Linked DNA regions of Sus scrofa. The protein of the gene in region 1 binds, or shares a complex with, the protein of each later gene. Links are inferred from orthologs where the notes say so. Each region holds a gene or a part of one and is shown on either strand. Other genes may lie near its edges.

Region 1 (8,104 bases):
CTTCACCTTCCTCATGGATCACAATGGGCAAAGCACAGCTCACGAAACTAAAACAAGGCCAGGCCAGAAAGAGGAGGGATATTGGAATCCCAGACAGAGTTTGTAGCAATACATGTAAGAGAGGGATGTGGCTGAGTTTTCACTGTGTAACATGCTGTCCAGGCGACCCAAATTCCCCTCTTCTTTCTAACCTCACCTGAAGTCGGCCAGGCTGAGTTGCAGCTTCTTCCGGGCTTTGTTGCGGGTGATGTAGTTGGTAGCAGAGCCTCGTTCATACTTGGGGAGGAAAAAAATCAATTCTCCATTAGCAATGACTGCAGTGACTGACAGCAATCTCTGGACACGCCTCTTGCAAGAGGCAACTAGTACTCTGGATAAGAGGCCGAGGGGCTGTGGGGAGGGAGTGCTTCTCCACTGAGCAAGTGGCCCTGTACTGGTCTTGCAGTTGTCAGCACACAGGAGGACACGTACATCTGCATGACGCAGGGGTCAGGTGCTATGCCAAGCACTTAGGAGTAGGTCTAAGTACTGACCATTATGATTACTGATTTGCTCCTATTATTTCATTTAATTCCCACAACACTGTGAGGTGGTTTCCATTAAGATTCCCATTTCACCAGGAAGGAAAGAGGCTCAGTAAAATAACCTGCCCAGGTCATATATCTTTTTAAAAGCCGGGGCTGGGTTCAGACCTAGGTCCAAGTCCAGAACCTGAGCACCTCACTCACTAAGCCAATGTTCTCAACTTCTATTCCATTATAACCACCGCTCCACCACCAGAGGCCTTTTAGAACTTCCCCTCTTTAATCACCCTCTCACACAGCCCTCTGAAATGTTAATTATCCCAGATATATGGTAGATCTATTTATGTAATGCAGTCCTATAAAGGGCCACAAATCACTGTAATATCTAAGACACCTCCCAACCAATTTTTGTTCCTTGGGGATGACACCATCTGGTTGAAAATGCACTTGAAGCCATAGAGCCTCTCTCCTTCCCCATTCATTCACTTATTCACTCATTCACAGACATTAAGACCTCTACTATGGGGAGTTCCCGTCGTGGCTCAGTGGTTAACGAATCTGACTAGGAACCATGAGGTTGCAGGTTTGATCCCTGGCCTTGCTCAATGGGTCAAGGATCTGGCATTGCCATGAGCTGTGGTGCAGGTTGCAGACGCGGCTCGGATCCTGCGTTGCTGTGCCTGTGGCATAGGCCGGCGGCTATAGCTCCGATTGGACCCTAGCCTGGGAACCTCCATATGCTGCGGGAGCAGCCCTAGAAAAGGAAAAAAAAAAACAAAAACAAAAAAATCAACAAACAAAACCCCAAAAAACCTCTACTATGTTCCAAGCATTTAGCTAGAGGTATGTGGGTAATAAAGTCAAATGGTCTATCTTCTACCTGCCCCCAAGAAGCATGATGCAACCATGTGGTTGTCTGTAATGCTGAGATGCTGCCTTATACTCACATCCCTGTAGCCCTGACAGAGCAACAGTGCACTGGGCCAGGTGCCCTGCAATGCAAAGCAAGAACATCTTTTCCAAATAAGCTCTTCCTCTGGACTAAGAGATCATAGGCCTTGATGGCCAGGTCCAGCTCTAAAGGGATAAACCCGTAGCCTCCTGAGGGGTACGTTTACGAATAACCCCAGAGTCACCAAACACACCCCGCATGCATTTTATTATTAATAAAGTTATCAATTGTTTATTGGGGATCAGGCCCATGCCAAGTCCCAGGGCAATACAAAGATGAGTTTCAGACTGTTTTAGGGAAGTTGCTTTTGTTAAAACTGTTTTCCATTACCCTATGCCACACTGTCACCATTCTTACCCTTTCAAACATTAAGAGGACACTCAAGGAGTTCCCATCATAGCTCAGTGGTTAACAAATCCAACTAGTAACCATGAGGTTGTGAGTTCGATCCCTGGCCTTGCTCAGTGGGTTACAGATCCAGTGTTGCTGTGAGCTGTGGTGCAGGTCACAGACACAGCTCAGATGCCACATTGCTATGCCTGTGGTATAGGTGGCAGCTGTAGCTCCAATTAGACCCCTAGCCTGGGAACCTCCATATGCCACAGGTGTGGCCCTAAAAAGACAAAAAAAAAAAAGAGAATACTCAAAGTTAACTGGGGTGACTTTACTCTCTGGGTGTATTGGGGGTGGATTCAGTATTTGGTGTTGTTGGGTACTACTGGCACCTAGTGGATGAACGGTCAGGAATGCTGCTGAACATCCTACAACACACTAGACAACCCTCCCCACAACAACACAACTAAGTTATGTGGCTCAAAATGTCAAAATGGTTGTGAAATCCCCACTTTAAAAACTGCCATGATTTGTTTACATATTTGCAACTGTTTCTCAAGATGAGATTTTCTCCCTCATATTTTTGTAGTTCCAATGGCTAGCACATAATGAGTGCTGGGTTAAAAACAAATCAGCATTGGAAACTTTCAAGATGAAGAAACATCATCCCCATCCTCATCCCCTCCTCTCCATGCCACCAATGTGATTTTCCATACAGCAACAAAAACAATTCTTTGAAAAATCGATGTCATTCCCCTTTTAGTTGATTCTTACTGCACAGCAAATAAAATCCAATCTCTTCACTGTGAATAACACGGTTTCTGTCCAACCCCAACTACATTAGATGCCATTCTTCCCTTGGTTTACTATACCCCAACTGTCCTGATATCCCTCCCATTCGGTACACACGGCAAGCCTTTTCTACCTAAGGGCCTTGGCACTTAGTTTCCTCTGTCAGGCTTGTTTGTGACCGTTTTCTTTGGTTATTTACTTTAGTGGCTACCTTCCCTACTAGAAAGTGAGCTTGGGAAATGTAGGGACTACATCTGGTTATGCCTCATCCCCAACGTCCAGAAAAAGGCCTGATTCAACAGAAAAGGGAGTAACAAGTTTTTAAAATGATAAACTCAACATAGTGATGAGCTCTGCGCTATGTTCATCACTTTTTCAGTAAACAGTTGTCCTCCGGTTCGGCCTGCTCTGGGATGCATCTTTACTTGGTAACCTCAGCTCTCTTTCACAGCTCTACTGCAGGCTTCTTTCCCGGATTTCACCGAACGAGTAATGCTGTCCTCGCCCATCCTCGGACCCTTTCTGGCTGCTGTCTTCTACCGCGTTGATCAGCCACCTCTGCACCCACAAGGGGCCAAGGCCGGGGAAAGGCGCAGTTCCCGGGCTATATCGCTCCCGTCTCCTACCTCCTGGGTCACCCCTGTGTCCCCACCCCTGCTTCTCGCACATCACCTTCTTCTTCTCCAGGCCGCCCATGGCTCCACGCTGAAAGGTCTACCAGTGCCGAGCGGACAGGTAGCGCCACTTCCTCCCGCATGTGCGCGGTACAGGGCCCCGAGGCCCTCCACGCCGCCTGCCTGTGAGGGCTGCCCAAGGAAGTGCCTGAGCAAGTCTAGGGAAAAAAGGGACTTTTCTCTTTTATATTTACAACTAAACTCCATGAAAAAAATCACTAAGACCGCTCTTCTGGATCTTTCCCATTTATTGCCTAATACAGACATATTTAATGTTTGATTGAAGGCGGATATTCAGGCATTTCTATAGTCATCCTGATGACGAACGCTTGCCGTTTCAGCCCCGTTGCATTTTGGGATGGAAGGCGGCGGAAGGCCTAGAGGCAGCGCAGCGCCTTCTGGGATGCATAGGGGAGTCTCTCTTCTGGGAGCAGCGGCAAGAATTGCGTTGTCATAGTAACAGTAGGCGTCGAAACTTGTCTTGCCTGAGAAGCCACCTCGGAGGTAAGTGGAGCGACTTTCGCTTCTCCTGTGGCCATTGGTTTTTCCTTTGGTTAGTTCGCTATTATCGGTGTAAATAAAGCAAAAGCAAACTTTTTCCTCTCAGAGGTAGAGAGACCCAAGAGGCCACTTAAACTTTCTGAGCCTTAGGAGAGAGTTGAAAAATGACGAAAGCACAGTTGGAACTGGTGCTATATTTTAAATGTACATTTAACATGTTTTAGTTTTTAATATGTATATACAAATTCCGTATTGTGTTCTTTAAAGGGTAATTACAAGATTTATACAAATATTCACACGAGTGTGATGTGGTCTGGGGAGTAGATGAAATTTGCAAAGTTAGATGTTTTCTTCCTTCAGGCCGCTAAACTCCATTTGGAGATTGCCTCAAAATTTTAAATTTGAAGAGTTCCCATTGTGGCGCAGCGGAAACGAATCCTAGTAGTATCCATGAGGATGCGGTTTCGATCCTGGACTCGCTCAGTGGGTCAGGGATCCAGCGTTGCGTCATGCTGTGGTGTAGGTCGCAGACCCGGCTCGGATCCTGCATTGCTGTGGCTGTGGTGTAGGCGGGCAGATGTGGCTCGATTCTTTCCCCAGCTGGGGAACTTCCATATGCAGCACATACAGCCCTAAAATGCAAAAAATAAAAAAATTAAAATTTGAGGCCCTTGTGAATGTGACCTGACCTAAAGTCATGGTCATTAACTCACCCTTTAGAGGTAAATACAGATATCAAGCACTGACCAATACTTGTTTTGAAAAATGTGTGTTTTATTATGTACTTTCCATGATAGCTAAAATAAAAACTTAATGATTCAGAGTTCCCTCTGGCGCATTGGGAGGCTGGGATGCAGGTTTGATCCCCAGCCCGTCATGGTGGGTTGAGGCTTCCGAGTCGCTGCAGTTGCAGCATAGGTCTCAACTGCAGCTTGGATCACTGATCCCTGGCCGGGAACTCCACAAACCATAGGGTGGCCAAAAAAAAAAAAAAAAAGAAAAGAAAAAAAGCCTAGTGCCTCTACAAACAACGAAAAATGAAATATAATGAAAAATGGGTAGGGGAAGGTGAGCTAGCAAAGACTTTGAAGGAACTTGACAGAGCGGTGTGAGGAAAAGCAGGGTCATGTGGTTCTCACAGCAAAAGACTAAGGTGTGTTTCAGAAAGGCTCTGAGAACAAAAGGAATGGGGCTGGCAAAGAGAAAGGAGAAAGAGACTGTCCAGGCCAGAGGCAAAAGTTTGGGGCATTTGGGAGCATGTAGGGTGTGACTGTGTAGGAGGAGAAGGATGGACCTGAGAGGACAGTAGTGGCTCGTTAATCAAAGGAACACAGGAGCAAGGCCACTGTCATGGGTGTGTGATCCTGGCAGTGGCCATGGCCCTGTGCTTGAGCCAACGCTGATTCTTAACAATATTTTAACAAGGCACCCTGCACTTGCAAATCATGTAGCTGGTCTACACAGGAAGGGCCTGTTTTGCTCACATTGATTTCGAGGGGGGGTCAGTGGAAAGACACAGATGGAGGTGTCTAGAAAAGAAATTGTACATTGGGTCTGGAGTTCAAAATAGGTACTAGATTTTACAGATGAGGAAACTGAGGTTCTGGGAAGGGAAGGGACTCATCCCAAGGTCACTCAGCTGCTAAGTAGTGGAAAATGGACTTTCACTAGGCAGCCTCGTTGCAGAGCCCAATGTTGAAATCACATGTCACTGCCTAATGAGTTGTGGACAGAGCTGGGCACCCAACACCAACAGTTAGTTTCCTTCTTTCTGTCCTGTGGAAACTGCTGTGTGACTCTAGAAACATGTGAAGCACATTTTAGCTTTATAATGGGAAGAGATTTTTAGCTATTAGAGCCATCCACTCCTGGAACGCTTTGTGAACCTCCATCACCATCATGGTAAAGAGCCCAGGCTCTGCAGGCAGACACACCTGGCTTTACTTCCAAGCTATAGGCAAGCCACTTTACCTCGCAGTACTTCTCTTCCTCATTTGTAAAATGTGAACAAGACCGACTGCTTATAGCAGTTGGCAATTTAAATATTTTATTTTATTTTATTTGGCCTCACCCATGGCATATAGAAGTTCCTGGGCTAGGGATCAAATCCAAGCTGAAGCTGCAACCTATGCCACAGCTGTGGCAACACTAGATCCTTACCCACTGTGTCACAGTGGGAATGCCTACATTTTTAATTAAGAAAATGGATATTCCATATACATCCACACAGTTGTATTTGTTATATTCATCCTTCAATGCCACCTTCGTGCATGCAATTTTTTTCCCCTTCACTGTTGTTTTTTGAAAATTGAAGTATAGTTGATATACAATATTATGGGAGTTTTAGGTGTATAGCATAGTGATTCATAGGTTTTTTTTTTTTTTTTTTTTTGCTGTGCTTTGGCAGTAGAAGTTTCTGGGCCAGGGGTTGAATCTGTGCCACAGCAACAACCTGAGCCACAGCAGTGATAATGCCAGATCCTTAAGTTCTAGACCACCAGGGAACTCCACGATTCATAATTGTTAAAGGTTATTTTCCATTTATAGTTCTTATAAAATATTAGCTATATTCCCTGCATTATTCAATATATTCTCATTCATGCATATAATTTTTTTCCCCTGTTGGATTCTTTGTTACGCTGTGTCCTAGCCCAATCATCATAACACCACGAGGAATAAATCTTTTTTTTTTTTGCTTCTTAGGGCCACACCCATCGCATATGGGAGTTCCCAGGCTAGGGGACGAATCAGAGCTACAGCTGCCAGCCTATACCACAGCCACAGCAATGGGGCATCTGACCTGTGTCTGTGACCTACCTAACAACTCACAGCAATGCCAGATCCTTGATCCTGACCCACTCAGTGAGGCCAGGGATTGAACCCTCTGCCTCATGGATACTAGTTGGGTTCATTTCCGCTGTGCCACAGCAGGACTCCCAGGAATAAATCTTTAGTCAGCTTAGTTGACCACTGCAGTGAGGGAGAGGAACTGTGAGGGTCTGACCCAGGAAAAGTCAGGATTATTACATCACATAGATGAAGTTTGGTGAGATGTAAAACCAAGCAGTATTATGCATAGGCTCAACACAACACAGGGATGCATGAGAAAGGTCAGCTTCAGGTTTGGACAGCAAATATCCTGTTTCCTTGTAAAACTACAAAGTTGAGATAGACATGGAATGTTGAGTCCAGAAATTCCATACCAGAGCTGACTTGGCTCTTCCAGGAATGTTTGTTTCTTTCCCCTGTCCTCCCTTCCTCTCTTCCTATTCTTTCTTTTCCTTTTTTTTTTTCTTTTCTTTTTAGGGCCGCACCTACAGCATATTGAAGTTCCCAGGCTAGGGCTACAATTGGAGCTGTAGCTGCTGGCCTACACCACAGCCACAGCAATGCAGGATCTGAGCTGTGTCTTCAACCTACACCACAGCTCATGGCAACGCCATGATCCTTAACCTACTGAGTGAGGCCAGGGATGGAAACTGTGTCCTCATGAATACTAGTCAGGTTCATTATTGCTGAGCTTCAGTGGGAACTCCAGGAATGTTTTTTTCTTACTAACATGATTTCAAACAGCAAATTTCTGATAGTTTGTTATATTAGAGGGAAAAAAGAATCCCAGTAAAAAAAAAAAAAACAGCCACTCAAACAACATGGTTACTGGGACACTTCATAACTGTAAGATGACCTTGGGAGAAATAGTGTTTCCTGTTTACATTGCCACTGGCTTTATCTGTGCCTTTCCTGATGCATGAACAGAGGAACTTTTACCTGCTCATGCCAAGCTAACATTTACTTTCCCAGCCATAGACCCCCAAATAGAAGTCCTGAACCAAATGATTTAGCCATTTTTCTTTTACTTCCCCTAACCCATTACCTAAAACAGTACAGCTCCACCCCTGATCACTCACTCTGTTTCTAATAGCTGTGGAAAACATGTCTTCTCCCCACTGGTCACTGCAGTATCTTTGAGTCCTTAGGGATCAGAGGTGACTCTACCAAGGAAGCTGCTTCTCATCAGGGACTGCCATCCTGGGGATGGTAGGAAACAGAATCATTGCCATCCACCATAGGCAGAGGACTAGGGGGCAGGCATAGTCCTGTCCCAGACCAAGGCAGCTCCATTGCCCATAAGTTTCCAAGGCCCCCCAGGAGATCTGAACCTGAGGATCCACGGAAGAAGCTGGGCCTCAGCTGGACTCCCTCCTTTCCCAGAATGTCATCCTGATGGGCCATACTCAGCCTTCTTGCACTCGACAGTCTAATTTTATAAAGTACTTCTGTAAACAGATGCACTTCTCTGTATTTAGTTATGTCAAAAGATTGGCTTG
Region 2 (6,975 bases), on another chromosome or scaffold:
CCAAGACATGCAGAAGTTCCCAGGCCAGGGATCGAACCCTTGCCACAAGAGTGGCCCGAGCCATAGCAGTGTAAACGCCAGATCTTTAACCTGTTGAACCACAAAGGAACTCCCTGAAGTTAAGCTTTTGATTTTTGGTGTCCATGAATAAACACATCGCCAGCTGCACCACAAAGCCACTAGCAACCCAACCTACCTGGTTAGTAGGTGCCTCTACCCACGAAGGTCTCCCTTTCAGAGACCCTGGGTAACCTGGATAACTGACCCCCCTTGAGTGACACCCCACCCCCTTTCCCTGCCAGAGTCCACATTCTGCCTCTTTTCTTTCTTTTTTGTCTGCCCCTCAGCCTATGGAACTCTCCGGCCAGGGATCAGATCCCAGCTACAGCTACGACCCACGCTGGAGCCCTAACCCTCTGTGTGGGGCCAGGGATCGAACCCACAGCCCAGAGCTCCAGAGATGCCACCAATCCCATTGCCCCACAGGGGGAACTCCCTCATTCCTGAATTTTTGCTGCGAGTTCACCAAGAGAGTGAACTCAGGCCTCCCACCTGCGGACCCTACTAAAGACAGAGCCCCAGGCCATCTCTCTCACTACAGGATCTTGCCAGTGGCCCTAAGGCAGCGGGGAGGGGGAGACTGTCAAGTACCTTCCAGGACCTGTGAGTAACAAATCTTGTTCCTCAAAGTTCCCTGATGGCTTTTCCCAAAGTGTGACTTTAAGAACCACAAAGGGAGTTCCCGTTGTGGCGCAGTGGTTAACGAATCTGACTAGGAACCATGAGGTGGCAGGTTCGATCCCTGGCCTTGCTCAGTGGGTTAAGGATCCGGTGTTACCGTGACCTGTGGTGTAGGTTGCAGACTCGGCTTGGATCCCGTGTTGCTGTGGCTCTGTTGCTGTAGGCTGGTGGCTATAGTTCCAATTAGACCCCTAGCCTGGGAACCTCTATATGCCACGGGAGCGGCCCTAGAAAAGGCAAAAAGACAAAAAAAAAAAAAAAAAAAAAAAAAAGACCCACAAGGGCTGGGCCAGCCCCCTCACGGGCTCTGGTTAGGGAAATGTTCAGCAGGGGCCTTGCCACAAGTACGAACATAGGTGAGGGCCCCAGGCCTTGCTCTCTGATGGTGACGCTAAGATGTACACAATAGTCGGTGCCCTCGGAAATTATTCAAACTCGCCAATTGCCAGCCTGTTTACACTGCCTCACCCGTTCCTTCTGGTGGAAACAATAAAAGCTCCTGCCCACATTGTTCCCTCCTGCCTCTGCCTCCTGATTCACTCTGGTGATTTCCCATGTGGCTCCACATGGCCTGTTATGACCCCTTTACTTGGCACCTGTAACAAACTGTCTTTATTTTTTTTTTTTGTCTTTTTGCTATTTCTTTGGGCCGCTCCTGCAGCATATGGAGGTTCCCAGGCTAGGGGTCCAATCGGAGCTGTAGCCACGGGCCTACGCCAGAGCCACAGCAACGTGGGATCCGAGCCGCGTCTGCAACCTACACCACAGCTCACGGCAACGCTGGATCGTTAACCCACTGAGCAAGGGCAGGGACTGAACCCGCAACCTCATGGTTCCTAGTCGGATTTGTTAACCACTGCGCCACGACGGGAACTCCTGCAGTTCAATTCTTAACTCACTATGCCCCAGCGGGAACTCCACAAAGTGCCTTTTCAATAGCAGTCACCTGATCTGTTGACCTGAGTAACAATAAAGCCTAGTTTTTTCTTTTCTTTTCTTTTTTCTTCTTTTGGGGGGCCATGCCTGTGGCAGGCCAAGGTTCCCAGGCCAGGGATCAAACCTGTTCCACAACAGCAAGTGACAAGGCCAGATTCTTCACCACTGGGCCACCAGGGAACTCCTAATAAAACCTACAGGTGGAAACAGGGTTGAGAGCAACCTGGAACCATCTCAAAGAGAAGCCAGGAAAGAGGGGGGTCCCCCAGCCCAGGACTCTGGGAGGCACTGCCCAAGGTCTGTTCCTCTTTGCAGAAGGTTGCAGAGAATGTGGACTGACCTGCCACCCTGGCCCCACTGTCCCCTGTTCTGGATCCCAGGAAGTCAGGGGTAGAGTGGCTGAGTGGGTGCCCTGGGCTGGGTCCCAGACTCCCACGCTGTATAGGCTACATGCTCCCTTACAGAGGAGGGGCTGCAGCAGAGCCCCCAGGCTGCCCAGAGGCAGAAGGAAACAGAGGCCCAGAGGCAGGACAGAGGATGTGAAAGCAACTTTAATCACCACCCTCAGGCAGGGGCTGCAGTAGTATCTGAGCAGCGGGGTTACCCTGGGAGTGACCTGGGGCCAGCCCCTCGGTTCCAGCTCTGGCACGTTTCCCATCCAGGTTCCTGGCATCCAGGGGAGGGTCCCAGCCTCCAGGGCCCCATCTTCAGGAGCTCAGGTACTCAGTGCTGCTGTGTAGAAGAATCCAGGTCTGGGGGCTACTGTGCCCACAGTCATGTGCATGTCCCCATACCTGCCATACTCAGGGACCATGCGATGTGACAGCAATGGCTCATCCTCAGAGCACCGAGGCCGTCTTCTCTGACTGCAGAGACCCCTTTAGGGCCACCAGCAGCCCCAGCGGGGACAGGCGTCCCTGGGCACAGAATCGTGACAACACGAAGAAGATGGTGATGGCCAGACCTACACTGAGCACCACTGTGGGGGATAGAGACAGGAGTGGGTAAGGGGGTGGCAGGAGATCCCACACCCACCAGGATCCTAACACCCTGCAAAGGGGGGTCTGCAGCCTGTCTGCTCCCAGCCCCAGGCGTGGGACGGCCTGTTCATCTTACCAGCAGCTGCGATAACCCCATAAGCACTTCGGTTTCCAGACTGAACTGAGTCCTGGTCGTCGACAGAGGTGACTGTGGCATTGCCCACAGGGGTTCCCATGGACGTGGCACCCCCTTCCTGGACAGTCTTGGTTCCTGCAAGAAGTCCAGGCATTCAGTAGCTGGGGAGGGGGCACCTGGGGCGGGGAAGGATGAAGGATGGTCCCAGTGCCAGGGGTGTCCTTGTGGCTCCCCTCCATCCCAGACTGAGTGAGGCTGCTCAGCACTGCTGCTGGAGTACCCTCGTGCAGCCCCCCGGGCAGACCCACGTGTCCACACCCTCAGCCTCATCATATACACCTCATCATATACAAGGTGAGGTGTCAGGCATCCTTGTCTACCCACCAACCCTTGCCACCCCCCACTAGCACACACCACAGCCAAGCTCATCGCTGTAGTCCGAACAGTCTGGGTGACCATCACAGAGCCACGTGATTGGGATACAGGAATTCTCCGGCAGGCAGTAAACCTCCCCCTCCTGGCAGGGCTGGTGCCGGCAGTTCTCATTAACACCTTCAGGGCAGTCATGGATGCTGTCACAAGGGCAGGGTCTGCCAATGGGTGGCGGGCACTGCCCATCCTGGGTGCATGGCTCAATACCTGGGGTACAAAGTCAGTCAGGTCCCAAACACCCACCCAAGAGGGCCCAGGTACTCCCCAACGCCCAGCCCCTGTAAGCCCCACCTTCCAAAAGCAATTGACCATATAAGGCCCACCCCTCCTACAGGCCCCACCCCATGCTTCTATTAGCTCCACCTTCCAAGGACTCACCTCCTGGCAAGCCCTTCCTCCCAAGACGGCACTAACTCCACCTAACTACAAACCCACTCCTTAACCCAAAGACCCAGACCAGTGTCCTTGCAGGCCTCCCCGCCACTCTCAGGCCCAATTCAGCGAGCCCAGCCCCAAAGCCACACCCCTCCTACAAGCATCTCCTCCATATGGCCCCTCCCCCATTGCAAGCCCTGCCCCCAGGCTGTGGCCCTCACCGCATTCCACCTCATCACTGCCATCAGGGCAATCCTTGTCAACATCGCAGCGCCATTTGAGGGGCACACAGAGACCACTGGTCCGGCACTGGAAATTGGTGGGCGCGCACGAGCCTGCACTGGGGCCTAAGAGATGCACACAGGTGAGGCCTGGGAGGTCTGGAGCACATTGGGATGTACACTGGTGGTCACCCTCTGCTAAGTATGTACTGGGTGTCAGGCCTGAACAGTTCGCAGCCTCGCCAAGAGCCTGACTGAGGAGATTCTACTGCCATGGCCCTTCTACAGAAGATGCTTAGAGATGTGAGGCCCGAGGCTATAAGCTAGTGGCAGAGTCAGGGTTCAAACCCTGGTCTCAATGACCCCAGAGTCTTTACCTGGTTCCACATGGCCAGATGGTCTCCCTAGGAGTCTTTTCAAGCTCCACGGTTAAACAGACTGGGGAAGGGGCCTACGCAGGCCCACGGTCAGGGTCAGAAGGGCCCATTATGTGCCAGCTGCTCACCAAAGGGGGAAACTGTGGCCTTAGATAGAGGACCTGCTTAGTCACCTCTAACTTCCTCCCAAACCTGGCCACTTTCCCCCATCCCGAATGTGCCCCCTCCTCCCCAGATTCCCCACCCCCATCTCCATGCAGACACCAGAGACCTCTCAGAGTCCCACCATTCGGTCACTAATCCCTTGCTTCCCCTTTGCTCAAAACTGTCCCTTGGTCCCCTGACCTTCTCACAACCAAATCTTCCATCCTTTGTGTCACTTGCAACACCTGGCCAGCCTTGAACCCTTCCTGGATCTCGCCTCCTCCCACGTTCCTCCTCCTCATCAAGCTCCCTCTGACCTGGCCTCCTTGCTGCCTCTGTAAGGGGCCTGGTTTGTTTCCACCAGAATTTTCCCCCATGCTATTCCTGGGTCCAGTACCCCCTTTCCTCCCTCTTCCCTGCACCTTATGATTTCCTCCTCAGATTTCACGTCTCAGCTTATTTCCTGGGAGGGGTCTCACGCTTCAGACCCCTGTAGCTTGGCCTCCCACTTAGAACAATGGTCCTTGAACTGGTACCCTTGTAGACGGGACACTTAGTGGTGGTCAGGGCCATGACTTTTGACGGTAAGCCTGGGGCCATGTCTAATGATAAGTGGACACAGATCACACAACAGTCTGGGCTGAGTCCAGCTGACACCCGAGCCTTCCTGGACACCCAGCAGAAGGAGCACAGAAGGGCCTGGAAGCTGGGCCAGCAGCCGAGAGTCTGAGGGACAGAGGAAGGGAGTGGCTTTTATGGCTTCCCCCTGGGTACAACAGGGTGGGTGGCAGAAAACTGGCATGGACCCAGCCTAGCCCCCCTCCATTTGATCCTGGTCATTTGACCCTTCAACCTTTTTTTTTTTCCCATTTTTTAGAGCCACACCCACAGCACATGGAAGTTCCCAGGCTAGGGGTCAAGTTGGAGCTACAACTACTGGCCTACACCACAACCACAGCAATGCAGGATCCAAGCCACATCTGCAACCTACACAGCAGCTTGAGGCAACGCCAGTTCCTTAACCTTCTGTGCGAGGCCAGGGATTGAACCAGAGTCCTCATAGGTACTAACCTGCTGAGCCACAACAGGAACTCTGACCCTTCCACCTTTACTCATGGGGGCCTGTGTCTCCAAGCCCCCCGCCCCTCACAGCCAGCCCTTCTGCAGGCCAGCCTCCAGGCCTTACTGTACCTGTGGGCCACACAGGCCCTGAGCTCTGTGGAGTGACCTGGAGCCGACTTCCTTCCCTGCCCATGGGAGTCTGGCAGCCTATGGGTGCAGGCAGCTTCCTTGCCAGGCCTAGCCACTCCGCGTGGCAACCCCTGACCTCCTTCCCTGACCTGCTGGACTGTGTGTCCATCTGTAAATCAGGAAGCAGAGCAGACCCGACCGCATGGGAATGCAGTTTGGAGCAAGGAGGGATTGGCCCTCCCAGCCTCAGTTTCCTCACCTGTAAAAGGGGCATGCTAGGAGTCCCTACCTCAGCACGCTGAAGAGAAGACACTGCTTGTGTGTAGAGTTTGGTACTTGGTTAATATGAGTCCTGATCATTGAAAGAATCAGGAACATTTAGCCTCAGATGGGAGCTTTGGACTGAGATAGAGAACCAGAAAAGATAGGATCCCATGGAGAAGCGGGTGTGTGAATCTGAGTTCACAGATGAAAATCAGGGGCACATGTGAGCACAGGGTGGTCACATTAACCTGCCCGGTTGCCTCTGGGAATCTCCGAGAGGGCGACCAACTTAAGCCAGGGTGAACGTGCCAAAGACCTGGGGTCGCAGGGAGGGAGGGAGACTTTTCTTTCTCTAAGACTGGAGAAGGAAAATGCAGAGACTGCGAGGGCAGGAGACTGTCGCTGAGGAAATTCAGCCATATGGCCCCGGGCCGCTGGGGTCAGGGTGTGGAAGGTGAAGCTACAGCAGGAGGCGCCAGGTTGGAGTCTGACAACCAGAGCCTGCAACAAACTTTCCTGCCCAAGCTGGGGTGAAGGGTGTCTTGAAGGTGACAATGGAGCACGACCAGCATAGCAGGTATAGGGTATAAGCGGGAACGAAACAGGATAGTCAAAGACAGGCAGAGCAACCCAGGCGGAGGGTCCCGCATTGGGGAAGGCGCCCCTAGAGCCACGTGCGCGGGGGGGCGGGGGGGCGGGGGGAGTGCCTCGGAGAGATATGCGGCGGAGCCAATGGTGAGGCGCTGCTGGCGGACGGGGGCGGATCTAGGGCTGCCTGAGTGGAGGGCGCGTGGGCTACACTGAGATCACTCACCTGGGTCCTCCGTCAAGGACCTGGTTGGGGTCGAGGTCGGGGTGGCTTCCAGGCCGAGCCCGAAGGCAAGCAGCAGCCGCAGCGCCAAACCCAGGGCCGCTGTACGCAACGCTCTGCCCGGCGCCATCAAACCACCTAACACATCACCCAGCCCAGCGCCCGGCTCTGGCAGAGCGTAGCCTGAGGGATCTTTCTTATCCCCCGTACGCTTGCGCACAGGCCTGGGGGCGGGGCCCACGGCCACTTGCTATGATTACCGTAAATGTCCGAATACGAGGAGATATTCGATTTGAGACTTCCACTTTTCACATTGACGAGGTATATCGAAAGATATGGTGAAATTAAAAACTTCTGGAGATGCATG

The links. The genes of interacting proteins can lie anywhere in the genome.
Region 2: the proteins of TCN2 (region 1) and CD320 are in contact, whole or in part, in a crystal structure (PDB 7QBF), measured with the Homo sapiens proteins. The link is inferred for Sus scrofa from reciprocal best matches to the Homo sapiens genes TCN2 and CD320. Residues at the interface, in NP_000346.2 of Homo sapiens: Asp70, Leu71, His74, Lys77, Leu78, Gln81, Gln82, Glu91, Asp92, Arg120, Gly121, His122, Lys123, Asp125, Arg126, Val128, Ser129, Lys132, Trp133, Glu136, Arg140, Lys169, Arg170, His172; in NP_057663.1 of Homo sapiens: Thr57, Lys58, Leu66, Cys67, Val68, Pro69, Trp72, Asp75, Arg76, Asp77, Leu78, Asp79, Leu133, Glu136, Cys145, Ile146, Pro147, Thr149, Trp150, Asp153, Gly154, His155, Pro156, Asp157, Cys158, Pro159.

What each region holds. Positions count from the first base shown.
Region 1 is NC_010456.5:47,492,622-47,500,725, forward strand, and holds the start of TCN2 (transcobalamin-2 precursor), read left to right. Parts: upstream 1-3,623; 5' UTR 3,624-3,779; intron 3,780-8,104. UniProt on the Homo sapiens protein: Primary vitamin B12-binding and transport protein. Delivers cobalamin to cells.
Region 2 is NC_010444.4:70,965,525-70,972,499, reverse strand, and holds the end of CD320 (CD320 antigen), read right to left. Parts: intron 6,859-6,975; coding exon 6,612-6,858; intron 3,948-6,611; coding exon 3,822-3,947; intron 3,433-3,821; coding exon 3,208-3,432; intron 2,929-3,207; coding exon 2,794-2,928; intron 2,657-2,793; coding exon 2,517-2,656; 3' UTR 2,211-2,516; downstream 1-2,210. UniProt on the Homo sapiens protein: Receptor for transcobalamin saturated with cobalamin (TCbl). Plays an important role in cobalamin uptake. Plasma membrane protein that is expressed on follicular dendritic cells (FDC) and mediates interaction with germinal center B cells.